2 linked regions of the Tamandua tetradactyla genome follow. The main gene of each other region encodes a partner of the protein of the gene in region 2 in a complex. Links are inferred from orthologs where the notes say so. Each region holds a gene or a part of one and is shown on either strand. Other genes may lie near its edges.

Region 1 (7,399 bases), on a different chromosome or scaffold from region 2:
TTTCCATCGACGTCCTTCCCAAAGCGCAGGGGCGTCACCTGAGGGTGCGGGGGACAGGCTGAGTGGCCCACTCCCACCTCCAACCAGCCAGAGACTCTAGCTAGTTCTTTGGAAAACTCACACATCAAACTGTTTTCTATTAAACAGTCAAGACTAAACAAGTAACTATTTACTCTTAACAGGTAATGCTTTTAGACTCTTAACACTTATTTTTAAAACATTAAAGACTTGACAAATCTAAGGGGTAGACATTGAGGAGAACATCAAAAACTTAGAACTTTACAACTGTTTATCCTTTGAAACACCTATAAACCCTGAACCTTAGCAAGTCTGCAGAAGCAGGGAAGGACTGAGCATCCCGACTACGAACCCCTTTGCCCCTGCACAGCCCTGAACTCTCCATGACTCTGTCAGGGGCACCTTAACAACCCCGGGCTTCCTTCCAGAATAACAAAATCTTTTCATTCATCAAAGGGGAAGACTCCAAGATCACTGACCCCTTCCTTCCCTTTCCCATCTCATCATTCTTATGCCTGGACTACTTCTCTTAAATGATCATTCATCATATGTATTGTTTGTTGCATATTCTTACAAATAATGTCTTGTAACGACTTGGAACAAGACCTGGCATATGATGACCACAATGGTTGTCGAAATAACCTTATGTCAGCTATCACCATGATATAAATACTATGATAGTTTCAAACATTCTTTTACCTTTCTGTACATTCTAAGGGCTTTATATGTATCATCTTGCCCAGTGTTATCAACCATCAAATGAGGCAGGTACTTAATTATTTCCATTTTACAGAAGTGAAAACTGAGGCCCAAGGGTAGAAATCACTTGTACAAGAGGATAAAACTACTAAATTTCAGGGCTTAGGAAATGAGGTCTGCCAGCCTCCAGGAGATGCCTTTTTAACCTCTCCTGACTGGGAGAAGGTGGGAAGGCTCCCTGCTGGTCTAGGCCATGAACAATGAGCTCACATTTGACAAGTGACAAAGGGATTCCATGCAGGGGACCCACATACCTACCTGAGGAATCTGGTCTGGGGATCTAGGACTACTGGCTGGAAAGAGGAGTTGCCCCAAGCCCAGGCTTAGGGAAAAGAGGGGAACAGACACTCACCTCAGGGTGAATACACAGGTTCTTGCGGGAGCTCAGAGCTAGTCCCAAGAATGGCAGCTTCTCGCCCTCCTGCTTCTCATAGAAGTTGAGCAGTTTACGCAGCTCTTCGATTACCTGCTCAGCCAGGAAAACTCAGCCTCAGTGAAAGCACAAGCGCCTAAATAGCCAGACCCCAGCTCCTTCCCCAGCCCCCCAAATCCCCCAAGGCTGGTGACCAAGGGAGTCCCGGGAGTAGAGGAGGGGGCCCTGGGACAGGCCCCAGCTCACCTTCTCAATCTCAGGCACGGTCCTCGAGCAGTAGATGAGTTTGGTCACCTCCAGCGGGTATGCCTGCCAATGACAAGTGGCCTCAGCCCCGAATGGCCTCTCCCCCACCCCTTCCCTGGGCCCAGAGAGTCACTCACCCGCTGGTATGCGATGATCAGGGCTAACAGGGATACTGTCTTCCCAGTGCCTGATGGCATCTCCAGGACGCCATGACCCTGAAGTTGAGGGTGGAAGGAATAACACATGGGCTCTCAGAATCTCAGGGACCCAACTTTTGGGGTGCCACCACCCTCCCAGAATAGCTGCAGGTCAGCATAGCAGTTAAAAGTTTGGTCCCCAGGGGCAATGGGCTTGAACCCCACTTCTGCCACCTGCTTGTTGAATTGTTTTAGGCAAGTATCTTCACCTCTCTGGGCATCAATATCCTCTTCTCTAAATGGGTCTACTACTAAAACCTTCCTCATAGCATGACTGAGAAGATCGTGAAAATCTATGGGTTAAATTTTTAGCACAATATCTGATAGAGGGTGAGCCTCCTTTTTCTCTGAATTTACAAATGCTTCCACAGTCTGGCATGGTTCCTTACAACCAAGTTTCTCAACCTTTGTACTGTCAACATTTTGGACCCGATAAGTCTTGGTCACTATTGCTATCAGGCACATTTTAGGATGTTTAGCGACATCCCTGGTCTCTACCCACTAGATGCCAGTAACACACATGCCCCTCCACTATGTGACAACCAGAAATGTCACGAGACGTTACCAAGTGTCCCCTAGGAGGAGAGAGGCAAACTGCCCTTGGTTGTGAACCACTGTCTTTTGTTTATTAACTCATTTAACCATCACAACAACCCATGAGGTATCTGACAGGGGAGGATACAGTGGAACAGGGAAGTTAAGTGACTAGCCTGAGGGCACACAGCCGGTGGACTGTGAGTCCTGGATTCCAATCCAGACAGCAGACTTCAAAAGTCCATTTATTCCTAACCGCTGGAGACGTTTAGCCTTTGATGTTAGCTGCTGCTATTACCAGCTCTTATTAGTTTAGATGCCTGGGAGGCTGGCTTTAGAGTCCTGATTCCCCAGAACCTCAGATATCGAAAACTTTGGGGTTTTCCTGGTCTAGACGTCCCGTAATCTCAGTCAAAAAGGCATCGGCCGGCCGGGCCCACACACCTTGGCGTCCAGCGTGCGTTTCAGCTCCAGCATGTAAGAGAACTGCTCCGGGTATATGTAGTCGTAAGGGAAGTAGACCAGCAGCCCGTCCACGTTGAGCCTGACAGCAAGGGCTGCGGGGTCAGGCCCCCGGCCCCCCGGCCCTCCCTCCAGCCCCCACACTCCCCCGTCGTCCACTTCCACAGGAGCCTCCGGGGCCCCTCGGCGTCTCCTCGCGGGCCATCCCCGTCACCACCCCGACGGTTCCCGCCGCTACCCCCACCCCACCGCTTCGGCCTCCCCCTCGCTCCACCGGGGCCCAGGGGTGCCCACCGGTACCCCCACCGGTACTCCCAACTTCAAGCCCTGGAGCCCGTCACGCGCCGCGACCCCCAGCCCCCATCTCACTTCATGGCGCCGACTCCGGTTTGCAAAGTCGTCGACACGCCTCCTTCATTAATATTCAGTGAAGGGAAGGTCCCTGGGGCGCCTTAGCGGTCCCGCTCCACCTTCCGCACAGCGCATTGGCTGATGCCGCACGCCACTCCGCCAGGAGGGTAATGCGCATGCGCACTTCGGGGGGCCGCTCTGAGGCGGGAGGTGGTTTCCCAGGCATCGCTGAGGATCGCCGAAGACAAAAAACAAAACGCGGAAGGAGGAGTCCCGAGAGGATCGATCCCATTCAGTTGGCTTCGTTCTTCCTACTTCTGCCCTGATTATCCCAACAGCGAGTAGAGTCTGCGGGAGAATGACAGTGAAATTGGAAATCCCTCCGGGGCCCGCGAGGTCGCAATGGCTTCACCGCACGAAATAAGTATCATTTATAAAGTGTCTGCTGTGTCCTTGTCCCCTGTGGAATAAATAACTTCCCATTTATTGAGCGCCTACTGTTCTCCAGAGACTGAGCTAGGTGTTTTTATTCAGTCAATAATGGAAAAGCAGTATAGTTTGTGGCTAAAGTGGGTCTCTGGAGCCAGAACTCCTGGGTCCAAATCCTGGTTCTGCTATCTGCTAGCTGTGTGACCTTGATCAAATTACTTGACCTCTCTGTGGTTTATTTTTCTCATTGTAAACTGGGAACAATTAGAATATCTACCACATAGGTGACCTTTAAATTAACCCACATAAAGCCGTTAAAATGGGGCTTTGCACATACTAAGCATTCAATAAATGTTAGCTTTTATTTGTCCATTCAAGAAACCATTATGGGAGCTGAGATCCTGTGCTGAACTCTGAGAACACAGAGGTACCCCCAAAACGCCCCTGTTTCTGTCCTCAAAGAACAGATATTAAACATACAAATAAATATATGATTACAAGTGTGACAAGAAGTATGAAGGAAAATTCAGGAAATCATAAGGGCTTATAACAGGAGAAATGAGAGTTCCTGGAGCTGATTCAGGCAGAGAAGAGGGGTAGGTCCCCAGTTCCCTATTTAGCAAGGATTAGAGAAAGGGGTCTCATTGGCACAACCACAAGGTTCATCAGGAGAGACAGAGGCTGGAGAAAGCGGGCCCCACCAAGGTTGCTGTTTCCTTAATAATCACCTCATTTCATTCATTCATTCAATCAACACATGCTCCCTGAGCCTCTCCTCTGTGCCTCCCTACCCCCGTGCTGGAGGATACTGAGGACATAGCAGGGACCGAAGAGCCCCAGGCTCACAGTCCAGTGTGGAAGACAGACTCATTCCCAGGCAGTGACGATCCTGAGGGCAAAGGACTGGGATGGGGTGGGAGTGATACCTGATCTGACTGGGCAGGTTCTCCTCTAAGAACTTGGTTTGTTTACTTCTAAAGTGAGAATAAGGATACCCTAACAAATGACATTAATGGTTAATGTCATATGTCCTGGTTTGAAACCGTTATGAACCCCAGAAAAGACACGGTCTTCTAATCCAAACTTGTGGGGGCAGATCTATTGTTAGGTGGGACCTTTTGATCGGATTGTTCCCATGAAGATGTGGTCCTGCTCATTCAAAGTGGGTCTTAATCCGCTTACTGGAGTCCTTTAAGAGAGGGACGTTTGGAGAACACACAGATATTTGGAGAAATAGAAGGAAAACACCCCAGGAGACACCAGAAGCTGAGAGACCCATTTGAAACCAGAAGCCCGAAGAGAAGGACAGCAGATGTTGCCATATACCTTCCTATGTGACAGGTCAGATGCCAGCTGCCTCTCCTCCAAGAAGGTATCCTCTTGTTGGTGCCTTAATTTGGACATTTTCATGGCCTTAGAATTGTAACTCGAAATTTAATAAATCACCTTTATAAAAGCCAATCCATTTCTGGCATTTTGCAGAAATGGCAGCTTTAGCAAACCAAAACATCATACAAACACATGAATGAAAATATAGTTTCAAAGTAAGGTAAAGTTTCTCGAAGTGGGTTCTAAGGAGCCAGTAGAACTCATAATAATAGTTAGAGGACTGGGGTTTGAGCCGGTTAATAAGATCGGTGACATGACCCCAAAGCTGAGAACTGAGAACTTTAACCAAGGGGAACACTGAATAGGAACAATTGCCTACACAGAGCTGTTCCTTGTGGTTTCATGTATTAAAAGGACAAGGTGGGACTTCCAGGCCAAGATGGTGGCTTAACAATGTGCACGTTATAGTTCGTCCTCCAGAGCAACTACTAAATAACCAGAAACAGTACAGAACAGCTCCTGGGGCCACATCAGTGACCGGACACACAGCGTACCCCAGTCTGGACCAGCTGGGCCGGCTGTGAGCCCCCCCCAGAACCGTGAGTTCCCCAAGCCATGGCGGCCGGTGCCTCTCCCCCACAGGCTGCTTCCCAGAGGGGAAAGGAAAGGGACTTGACCAGAAACAGGGGCTGAGCCCAACCAAACGCCAATTGTGGAATTAATTAACAAATTCTGACTACTGAAAATAGGCCCCCAGCTCAGGTGAACCTGGTCAAAGCGGAGGTCTCTCATTTTTGCCCTGGCGCCAAGGGGGCAGCACTGATGGAAAAAGAAAAAAAGGGAGGAAAAAAGGAAACAGAGGTTTTTGTGGCTTTGTTTCTACAAAGGCTTGACTGCCTTTGAATACAGCGGCAGGGCTTATCAGGCTGCAACTGCCTCAGGCATAAGCAGAAACAAGCTCGTTTGACAGCTTGTCTGGAGCCTGTACCTTCCCCAGGGGAGGGGTGAAGCTAACTCAGGTGGAATCCCTCCCTCAAGGAATTCAAACACTAGGGCTTGGTAATTTGAAGCCATTAAAATCAGCCTACAACCTCTCCTGTGTCCCCACCATGCCCCCAGCAGGGAGAGTCTGCCAAAGTTAAAGGTACCACATCATCTTATGCTGTTGGGACCTGCAGGCAGACAAGCGCCACATACCGGGCAGGATAAGAAAAACAGAGCCCAGAGACTTCACAGGAAAGTCTTTCAACCTGCTGGGTCTCACCCTCAGGGAAAACTGATGCAGGTGACTCTTTCCTCCTGATAGGAGGCCAGTTTGATCTGGGAAAATCCAGCTGGGGTCTATAATACCTAAGTAGACCCTCCTAAGTGTGGGGGAGGCACCATACAAGCAGGGCAAGAAACAAGAAAACAAGAGCTTAAAAATTCTCCTCTGTTAAACAAAACTTAAGCTAGAGGTCCAGATAAAGCTGAACTGAATGTCAAAGAACAGATAGACAACAAATTCATCCAGCAAGAAAACTTTAGGTAAAGAAGTGAAAGCAATCTCCAGAATAAACTAATTAAGGTAATTAAATGCCTAGACACCAGCAAAAAATAACAAATCACACTAGGAAAAGTGAAGATATGGCCCAGTCAAAGGAACAAACCAACAATTCAAATGAGATACAGAAGCTGAAACAATTAATTCAGAATATACAAACAGACATAGAAAACCTCATCAAAAACCAAATCAATGAATTGAGGGAGGATATAAAGAAGGCAAGGAATGAACAAAAAGAAGAAATCGAGAGTCTGAAAAAACAAATCACAGAACTTATGGGAATGAAAGGCACAGAAGAAGAGATGAAAAAAACGATGGAAACCTACAATGGTAGATTTTGAGAGACAGAACATAGGATTAGTGAACTGGAAGACAGAACATCTGAAATCTGGCAAGAAAAAGAAAATATGGTGAAAAATGGAAAAATATGAGCAGGGACTCAGGGAACTGAAAGACAATATGAAGCACATGAATATACGTGTTGTGGGTATCCCAGAAGGAGAAGAGAAGGGGAAAGAAGGAGAAAAACTAATGGAGGAAATTATCACTGAAAATGTCCCAACCCTTACGAAAGACTTAAAATTACAGATCCAAGAAGTGCAGCATACCCCAAAGAGAATAGATCCAAATAGACGTACTCCAAGACATTTACTGACCAGAATGTCAGAAGTCATAGAGAAGGAGCGAATCTTGAAAGCAGCAAGAGAAAAGCAATCCATCACGTACAAGGGAAGCCCAATAAGACTATGTATAGATCTCTCAGCAGAAACCATGGAGGCAAGAAGACAGTCGGATGATATATTTAAATTTTTAAAAGAGAAAAACTGTCAACCAAGAATTCTATACCCAGCAAAACTGTCCTTCAAAAATGAGGGAGAAATTAAAACATTTTCAGGCAAAAAATCACTGAGAGAATTTGTGACCAAGAGACCAGCTCTGCAAGAAATACTAAAGGGAGCACTAGAGACAGATACGAAGACAGAAGAAAGAGGTGTGGAGAAGAGTGCAGAAAGGAAGACTATGAGTAAAGATAAAAAGAAGGAAAATTAGATATAACATATAAAATCCAGAAAGCAAAATAGTAGAAGAAAGTACTACCCATGCAGTAATAACACTGAATGTTAATGGACTAAACTCCCCAATCAAAAGACATAGTCT
Region 2 (7,673 bases):
TACTCTCCCCCTTACTCACTAGGTAGCCCCACGTTGCAGAGCATCTGGCACAAAATAAGCATTCAAGGCATGCATGCTGACTGAATGAAAGGGAAGGTCCCCACTTCAGTGCACTAACTGCCCAGGCACTAAGGTCTACAGACGAAGCAGCCAAAAGCCTTCAGGCCCACCCCCAGAGCTTTTCCAGCACCTAGGTCCAGCATATTAGAACACCACTCACTCTAAACAGGGATGCTTGTGGCAGGGCCCTGACAATCAATAGGAGGTAAATGCATCCAATTATTACCTGCTGCCAGCTCAGCAACCTGGGCTACAGAGGTGGGAACCCAAGGTTAAATACTGACCTCCTCGGCATTCTCCAAGTCATCTAGCCCTTCATCCTCCTCCACATCATCAAAGTCATCACCATCAAAACTGTACAAGAAAAAGAGGCCAGTTAGAGCATCACTTAACTGTGATCAAAGAGGGCAGAGATATGGGTCTTACTTGATACCTAGGAGGTACTAAATAAATATCTACTTAATGAATGAAATCAAACTTCTGTTTGATTTTACTACCTCCATCTTTCCCCATCCATTAGGTCTCACTCATCATTGCTGGATCATTACAGTATGTATGTAAACATATAGATATTTCCCTATCTTAAAAACCAAACTTACTCTCTTCTCACACACCCCCACCTCACCCCTACCCTCCATAGCCCTATTTCCATTATTTCCTTTGGAGCAAAATTCCTGAAGGGGATATCCATCCTCATTAACTCCAATTTCTCTTTCTGTTCTGACACAATCTCATTCCAATATGACTTTCATGACCCCACCCCGGTTCCAGCAAGACCCCTTTTTTTTTTGGCATCGGCAGGCTCCGGGAATCGAACCCAGGTCTCCAGCACAGCAGGCAAGAATTCTGCCAGAGCCACTGATGCACTGCCCAGAACCACTCTTTTTGTGGTTAGAAATATGAATGATCTATTTCTGCATTACTAAATCCAAAGAGCAATTCAATTCTCATTCTCATTTAAGTGGACCTATCAGTAGACATGCTAGACAACTCTTCCCCCCTCCATGCAATCTCCTTCACTGGACTTCAAGAACCTTCCCTGCCTTAGTGTTGCCCTGCCTCACAGGCTGCCCCTTCTCAGATTTCTTTGTGGTTTTTCCTCTTTCCTCCTAAGCACTCAATGTCAGAATGATCCAGCACTCTGGCCCTCTCTCCTTCCCTACGGAACTCACTTCCCTGGTGAGCTCATCTGTTTCTTAGTTTTGATTAACTTACTTATGCTGATGACAACCACATTTTTATCTTCAGAATCGACCTCTCCTCTCACCACACATATCCAATTCGTCAGGAAATGTTCCTGGATCTACCTTCAAAATACATCTAGAATGCAACCACTCCTCACCATACCAACTCTACTAGTAACTCCCTTGTGCAAGCCACTACCTTCTCTCACCTTGATTAAACCCCACTAAGCTCCCTGCTTCTGTCCTTATCCCTCTACAGTATATCAACATAGCTACCAGGATGATCCTTATAAAATCTCAAATCACATCATTCCTCTACTCACAATTCTTCGATGGTTCTCCATTTCACTCAGAGTAAAAGCCAAAGTCCTAACAATGGCAACACGCTTACATCATTTGGCAACCTATCACCTGCCTCCCTGACCTCATCCCCTACCATGCTCCCCTTCCAAGATCTACTCTGGTCTCCTGGCTGTTCCTCAGAAACTCCAGACACGCTCCTCCCTAACACCCTATGCTCTAACTCTCCCATCTCTCGCAAAGGCTAATGCCATCACCTTCTACTCTTGTTCAAATGACACCTTCTCCATGAAGCTTTTTCTCAAATGACCGTTCCATTTAAAGCTGTGATGTACTGCTTTGCCCTTTCCTCTATTTTATTTTCCTATAACACTTACCACCTTCTAATATACCATAAACTTTCCACCATACTATACACATACCTACTTATTGTGCCAATTGTGCATCATCTGTCTTTGCACACCCCTCCCCCAATTCATTCATTTCTATAATCCAAGCTCCTGGAATAGAGTCTGACACAAAAATTTATTGATTGAATGAACCAATTCAACCAAATTCAATATGACGTATTTAAAATAACTTCATGACCCCACTTAAATCTTCACCACCATCCTTGACCTCAAGTACCACACCATCACACCCAAGTAAGACAATAACAACCTGTGCCTTCTTCCAGGTTCCCCATCATGGTTGGAAGAACTACCCACACAGTTATTCATCTAGAAAATGCTAACCCTACATCCCTTCTCCCCCTCACACTCATATTTTATCCATCACCAAATCCTGTCAATTCTACTTTCTGAAATCTGTCAAACCTGTACCCTACTCTCCTACTCATGGTAACTTCACAACCTCTGAAGTTTCACCAGCCTCTCTCAGATAATTAAATTTCCCTCCTCTGAATTACTTCTCTACTATATACTTCAACTACTTGTAATATCTCTTATCTAATATTAGCTTTTATATATATATATATATATTAGCTTTTTATGGAACTATTTCTGCCTTTAGAAGGTGAGCGCCTTAAGGTAGGGACAATGCCCAATTCATTTCAATATTTCCAGTACAAGATACAGAGCCTGGCTCTGTGGAAGTCTGTTGAATGGCACCTTATGCACTGATCCCCTCTGGTCCCTTGAGCCTGGGCCTTTCTGTGTCTAGCCTGTGGCGTGGCCTATGCCCCAGTTCCCCGGCCTCCCCTTCTCCAGTTCCGCCGGTCCCCTCAGGTCCTCAGTCTCCTCAGACACAGCCCCTCCACGTCTGGCTTCTCAGCCTCTTCCGACCCGGTCCCGCCTCATCCGCCCCTTCTGAGGCTCCCGCCTAAGTTCACTTCGCTCCCGCACTCACTTGTCCTCGTTATCTGACATGCTGCCCCGGCTGCAGCGACCTCACTCTGCTACGCACACGCGCGCGGCGACACGCACCCAGCCTCCAATTCGCGCGGCGCCCGGCACACTCTGCGGCTGCGCTGAGACCCAGCGGAAATCACTTCCGGGAGGCAGGCAGGAGAGTCAAATATGCGCATGCGCTGGATGGTGGGCGTTCGTTACCTTGGCAGCAAGAGCCGCTAGCTTCAGGCTCCAATAGGAGGAATCGCGGAGTGTTCCTGAGGGTTACGGGAGCCGGGTGCCGCTACAGAGCCGTGGGGACACCCAGGCCGGGCCTCACATTAGGTGAAGTTTCAATTTGGCCTCACCCAATGGGCACTGTTGTGACCACGGCGATCTTAAAGCTCCCTTCCTCCAAAGGGTACATCCTTGCCACAGGCGCCTGGTCAGGATGAGGACTCTCTGTGTGCGCGTGTGTGTGCATATCTGACTATGTATCTGTGTTTTGGGATGTTGGGCCCTGTCGCGATATTGACTGGCAGCATCACTATTCTCCTATGGCCAGACTCCCGACCCCGGCTCCCACATTCAGGTGGAATTGGGGCGTGGGGAAGCAGGGATGTGGCCTGGGAGACAGGGGATGTATCTTTGCACCTTTCTCTCCTCAGGGACCATCCATGACTTCCCAGGAGAGGGTGGGGGCAGTGACCAAAGGAATCGGGCTCTGGCGTTGCCCTAAACGGGCCACATACACCCCGGGAACCTGCGAGCTGCTCAGAGGTCAGTGCATTAAAGGGGTGGTAACAGTTGCCCTCAGTAACTCAGTTCTCCCCTATATGATCTGTGCCTTAGTAATAGCTATCTTAATTTTAAAGATGAGAGCGTGGGGTTCAGAGAGGTTCTGGGTTCAATAGCTTGTAAGTGGCCAAAAGTCAAAAAGTTAAGAATTTTAGAGTAAAGTACTGTGCAGTCTTTAAATCACACACTCCTCCTCCGTAGGAAGCCTTGTCTCCTTCCAATCCATACCTACCCATACCAGCAACATCTATTACTTGCCCTCACACTACGAAATACCTTTTCCTTCATTTAGCTTAGGGAAACCTGTACTTGGATATTTAGTTGTGCCCATTGGATTAATCTCCATTTCCCTTCTAGATTGTTTACTCCATCAGGGCAGGGATTGTGCCTAATATCCTAGTAGGAGGATAATAAATAATAAATAAAGTAAATAAGTAAAATATATAGAACTTAGATGGTGATAAGTGCTATAGGGAAAAAAAATGAAGCAGGGAAGGAAGAAGGAAGGAAGAAAAGGATTGTTCAGGTGTGGAATGGGGGTAAAAGAAGGAGGTGATGCAAATAAGGTGATATGAAGGCATCTGCCTGCAGCCCAGAAGGTCTCATAGAAATGCTTTCTCTTGCAGTTATGATGAAGGAATCCAAACTGACCAACTTCCAGCAACGCCAAATCATGGACACTGTGAAAAGTAAGAAGTAGTCCACAGAGGCTTCCAGGCAGGGGGATTCTGGTACACATTTTTTAAATGTCCCTTCATATTGAAGCATATGGAGAGACCTCGTTTAAAAACAAAAGCCAAAAAAAAAAAAAAAAGAATAGTATTTCTGCACCTTGGCTCTGAAGAAGTGACTCTGTCGGGCCTTTGCCCCTTCTCTGGACATGATTCCTGGCATTATGAAAATTCTCCTGAAGTCTGGCTCTGCCTGACCTTCCCAAGGGATCACAGCCCAATAGGGACTTTGTGCCCAACCAGAATAGTCTCAACACAGTCATGTCTGCAGTCTGTCCCTCCCCATTACACACATACCATATGAGCTCTCCAGAGGAAAGGACTGTGCGTGTGCTTTGTTTGTAGTTTTATTCATTCATAGCTTGGCTAGTGGAAACAAGATGATTGGCTAAATTCAAACTTAGAACACAGAAAACCTTTCTATGGCTCATCTCTTGCTAAACATTGTTATTTGCTTTTAAGAATAGAATAAAAGCGGAAGAATTAAAGGCAGTACACGGGTAGCATAACAAGGTACCCCCTTGAAAATAACCTTGTCCTCTGAGTCAGCATTTAATGAGTCAGAATAGAGGCCTGCACAGTTGCCTTTTAAAGGCAGAATGCCAAGAGGCCCAAGTCTGTTGGGCTTTCCTTGAGTCTGCCCAAAGTTACTGGCTTCCCTAAAATAGGAATGTACCTGTATGGAGGGCATTTGATCAACCACAGACCTGCATGGGAGGAAGAGTCAGAGAGGCAGATATTGACAGTGTCCGTCCATCACTGACTGTGAGAGGGAGGGAGGCTCTGTCAGACCAGTTCAGGGATCAGAATCACTTCCTTGTTGTGGTCAAGGACAACTCAGGCTACCAGAGCCTGGTGCCATCACAAGTTTGAATCACATAACTCTATCTCCATACTCAACAGTCTACTAAGAATTTGGTGTCCCCTGTCACATGACTGCAAAGAGAATGTGCTAGAAATTCCACCAAAAATAAATACCTCAAGTCCAAAGACTGGTCTGCTTGTTCACCACTATAGAGCTGCTCCTAGAACACGAACTCAGTATTTATTGAACAGCTGAATTGTTTCAATGATTAGGCCCACATGAGTAATTGATTTGCCTGGCAGTTTTATTCTCATTAAGAAATTTTCCTTAAAACAAACTAACAAAAAAATTGCTTCCAAGCCTTGGTGTTGAGTCTCAGTTTTCTTTTGGAATTTCTTCTCTACTTCTTTCCTGTGAACCAAATCTTATTCAATGTTTGAAGCTTAGCTCAAATTCTTTTGCAAGCCATAAATACCTTTGCTTCACCTGAACTCCCAGAATTATTTGCTGAGAAAGGTCCAAAGGAAGAAGTAGTATTTGAGCTAACTCTTGACAGAGTTAAGAGTGGACAGGAAGTGGAGAGAATGAGAGGTACATTCTGAGAAACCCAGCATCTCTTTAGAGAAAAGAGATTAATTCATGGTGTGGCTTTAGGTAGATGGCATAAAAAGGGATGATTTGTGGGAAATAATGGCAGCTCCATCCTCCAGTTGCTTGGGACAGATGCCTTGGAATCATCCTTAATTCCTTTCTTTATCCCACATCCATACCCAATCCATCAGCAATCCATCTTCTTAATCTTCAAACTATATCCTGACTTTAACTACTTGTCCCCAACTCCGCTGCTAGCACCTGGCCCAGGTCCCCATCGTCTCACCCCATTATGACATCATTAACCTTAGAACTGACCTCTTTCCTCTTCCCTTGGCCCTCTATACTCTATTTTCAACAGCAGCTGAAGGGATCATGTCACTTCTGTGCTCAAAATCCTCCCATGGGCTTCCTGTCTCATATCAAGCAAAAGCCAGTACCTCCAGATGCCAACAAAGCCCTGCAATCTGGGGCCCTCCATGAGTCCCTAACCTCTGCTCTCATTATGACTCCCTTCACCTCCCCAACCCCCCATGCTCACTCCACCCCTGGTACCTGGCCTCCTGTGTGTTCCCCAAAGCTCCCAGACCCCTCCCACCTCAAGGCCTGTTTCCTATGCCTGGAATGCTCTTTCCCAGGTTACTGGCCTAGTTGGCCTCCTCACCAGTCTCAGCTATTTTCTCAAATGTCACCTCCTTCATGAAGCCTTCCCTGACTACCCTGTTTGGAATCATGGAATTCACTGTTATAGACCCTGTGCTCCATCCCTGCACTGTCATCATCTAACCAACTACGTATTTTACTTATTTTACTATCATCTCCGCTCCCAGCCCAAACATAAGCCCTGTGAGAACAGGGCCTTATCTTAAATTCTATCCCCAGTATCCAGGGCTTGGCACACAGTGGGTACTTAATGCTTATTTGCTGATGGGATGATAGAAGGCTGGGAAGTATCAACAGGGGCCAGATCATAGCAGTGGGTAGGGCATGCTCTAAGCTGGGCTTTAGAATGACTGAGAGGAGGGACAATCAACCAGAGGAGGTGATGTGGTTTTCTAGGCTGCACCAAAGGATGGACCGCAGGAGGGACAGGTGTCCACTACCACCCAAACTGTCCCTCTCTGCTCTTGCCCCCAGCAGGTTTGAGGATTCCCTCCTATAGAATAAAAGCATCGGTACAAAGGCTTGATGTACAAGGGTGTTTATTGCTGCATTGTTTGAAGTAGAAAAAAGAAAAAACTAAAAGCAACCTGAATTTCTGAAACTAAGAGACTAGTTGAATAAATAATATGCTCATTTTAAGGACTAATATACTATAAAAATAAAGTATATTTATTTACTATAAAACTATGTTACATATATAAATGGATTGATCTAGAAAGATGTCCATTATTAATTATTAAGTGAAGAGTCTATTCCTGAATACTGAAGTATGATCAAGTGTTTGAAAAAAAATCATATATGTGCGCATCTGTCTTTGAACATACTCCAAAAGCAGGGCAAGGGACCAGCAAATTATAACTAATGCTCATTGTGGGGGGTGGGGTTGGAGGGGGAAAGGGATATTGCTATAATAAACAGCTGTCACTTTTATGATTAAAAAAACAACAACAACAACAACTAGCCAGGTGAGCCCCCACCCTGGCCCTCCCTTCCCCAGGAGGAGACACTCTGCCCCTGCAATGCAGCCCAACATCCAGCCAGAGGGCATTGCCACCCAAGCCACCAGCCTCTGCCATCCACCTGCCTCCCATCCTGACGGCCCGGCCTCACCTCCGGCCTGCCAATGTGTGCCAAGCCAACGGGGCCTACAGCCGGGAGCAATTCAAACCTCAAGCCATCAGTAAGTGTCAGGGCCTTGGCTCAAGCCTCTCTT

The links.
Region 1: POLR2F (region 2) and ERCC2 share a complex: the UniProt entries of both Homo sapiens proteins name them as parts of the TBP-based Pol II pre-initiation complex. The link is inferred for Tamandua tetradactyla from reciprocal best matches to the Homo sapiens genes POLR2F and ERCC2.

The regions. Positions count from the first base shown.
Region 1 is NC_135342.1:15,626,473-15,633,871, reverse strand, and holds the start of ERCC2 (general transcription and DNA repair factor IIH helicase subunit XPD), read right to left. Parts: upstream 3,092-7,399; 5' UTR 2,964-3,091; coding exon 2,959-2,963; exon of another isoform or gene 2,884-2,958; intron 2,672-2,883; coding exon 2,572-2,671; intron 1,612-2,571; coding exon 1,534-1,611; intron 1,460-1,533; coding exon 1,397-1,459; intron 1,244-1,396; coding exon 1,130-1,243; intron 39-1,129; coding exon 1-38. UniProt on the Homo sapiens protein: ATP-dependent 5'-3' DNA helicase. Component of the general transcription and DNA repair factor IIH (TFIIH) core complex, not absolutely essential for minimal transcription in vitro.
Region 2 is NC_135333.1:30,297,784-30,305,456, reverse strand, and holds the start of POLR2F (DNA-directed RNA polymerases I, II, and III subunit RPABC2), read right to left. Parts: upstream 3,025-7,673; 5' UTR 2,912-3,024; coding exon 2,892-2,911; intron 415-2,891; coding exon 345-414; intron 1-344. Other genes in the region: C7H22orf23 (UPF0193 protein EVG1), read left to right, coding at 3,324-3,350, 3,541-3,652, 4,297-4,359, 7,458-7,640. UniProt on the Homo sapiens protein: DNA-dependent RNA polymerase catalyzes the transcription of DNA into RNA using the four ribonucleoside triphosphates as substrates.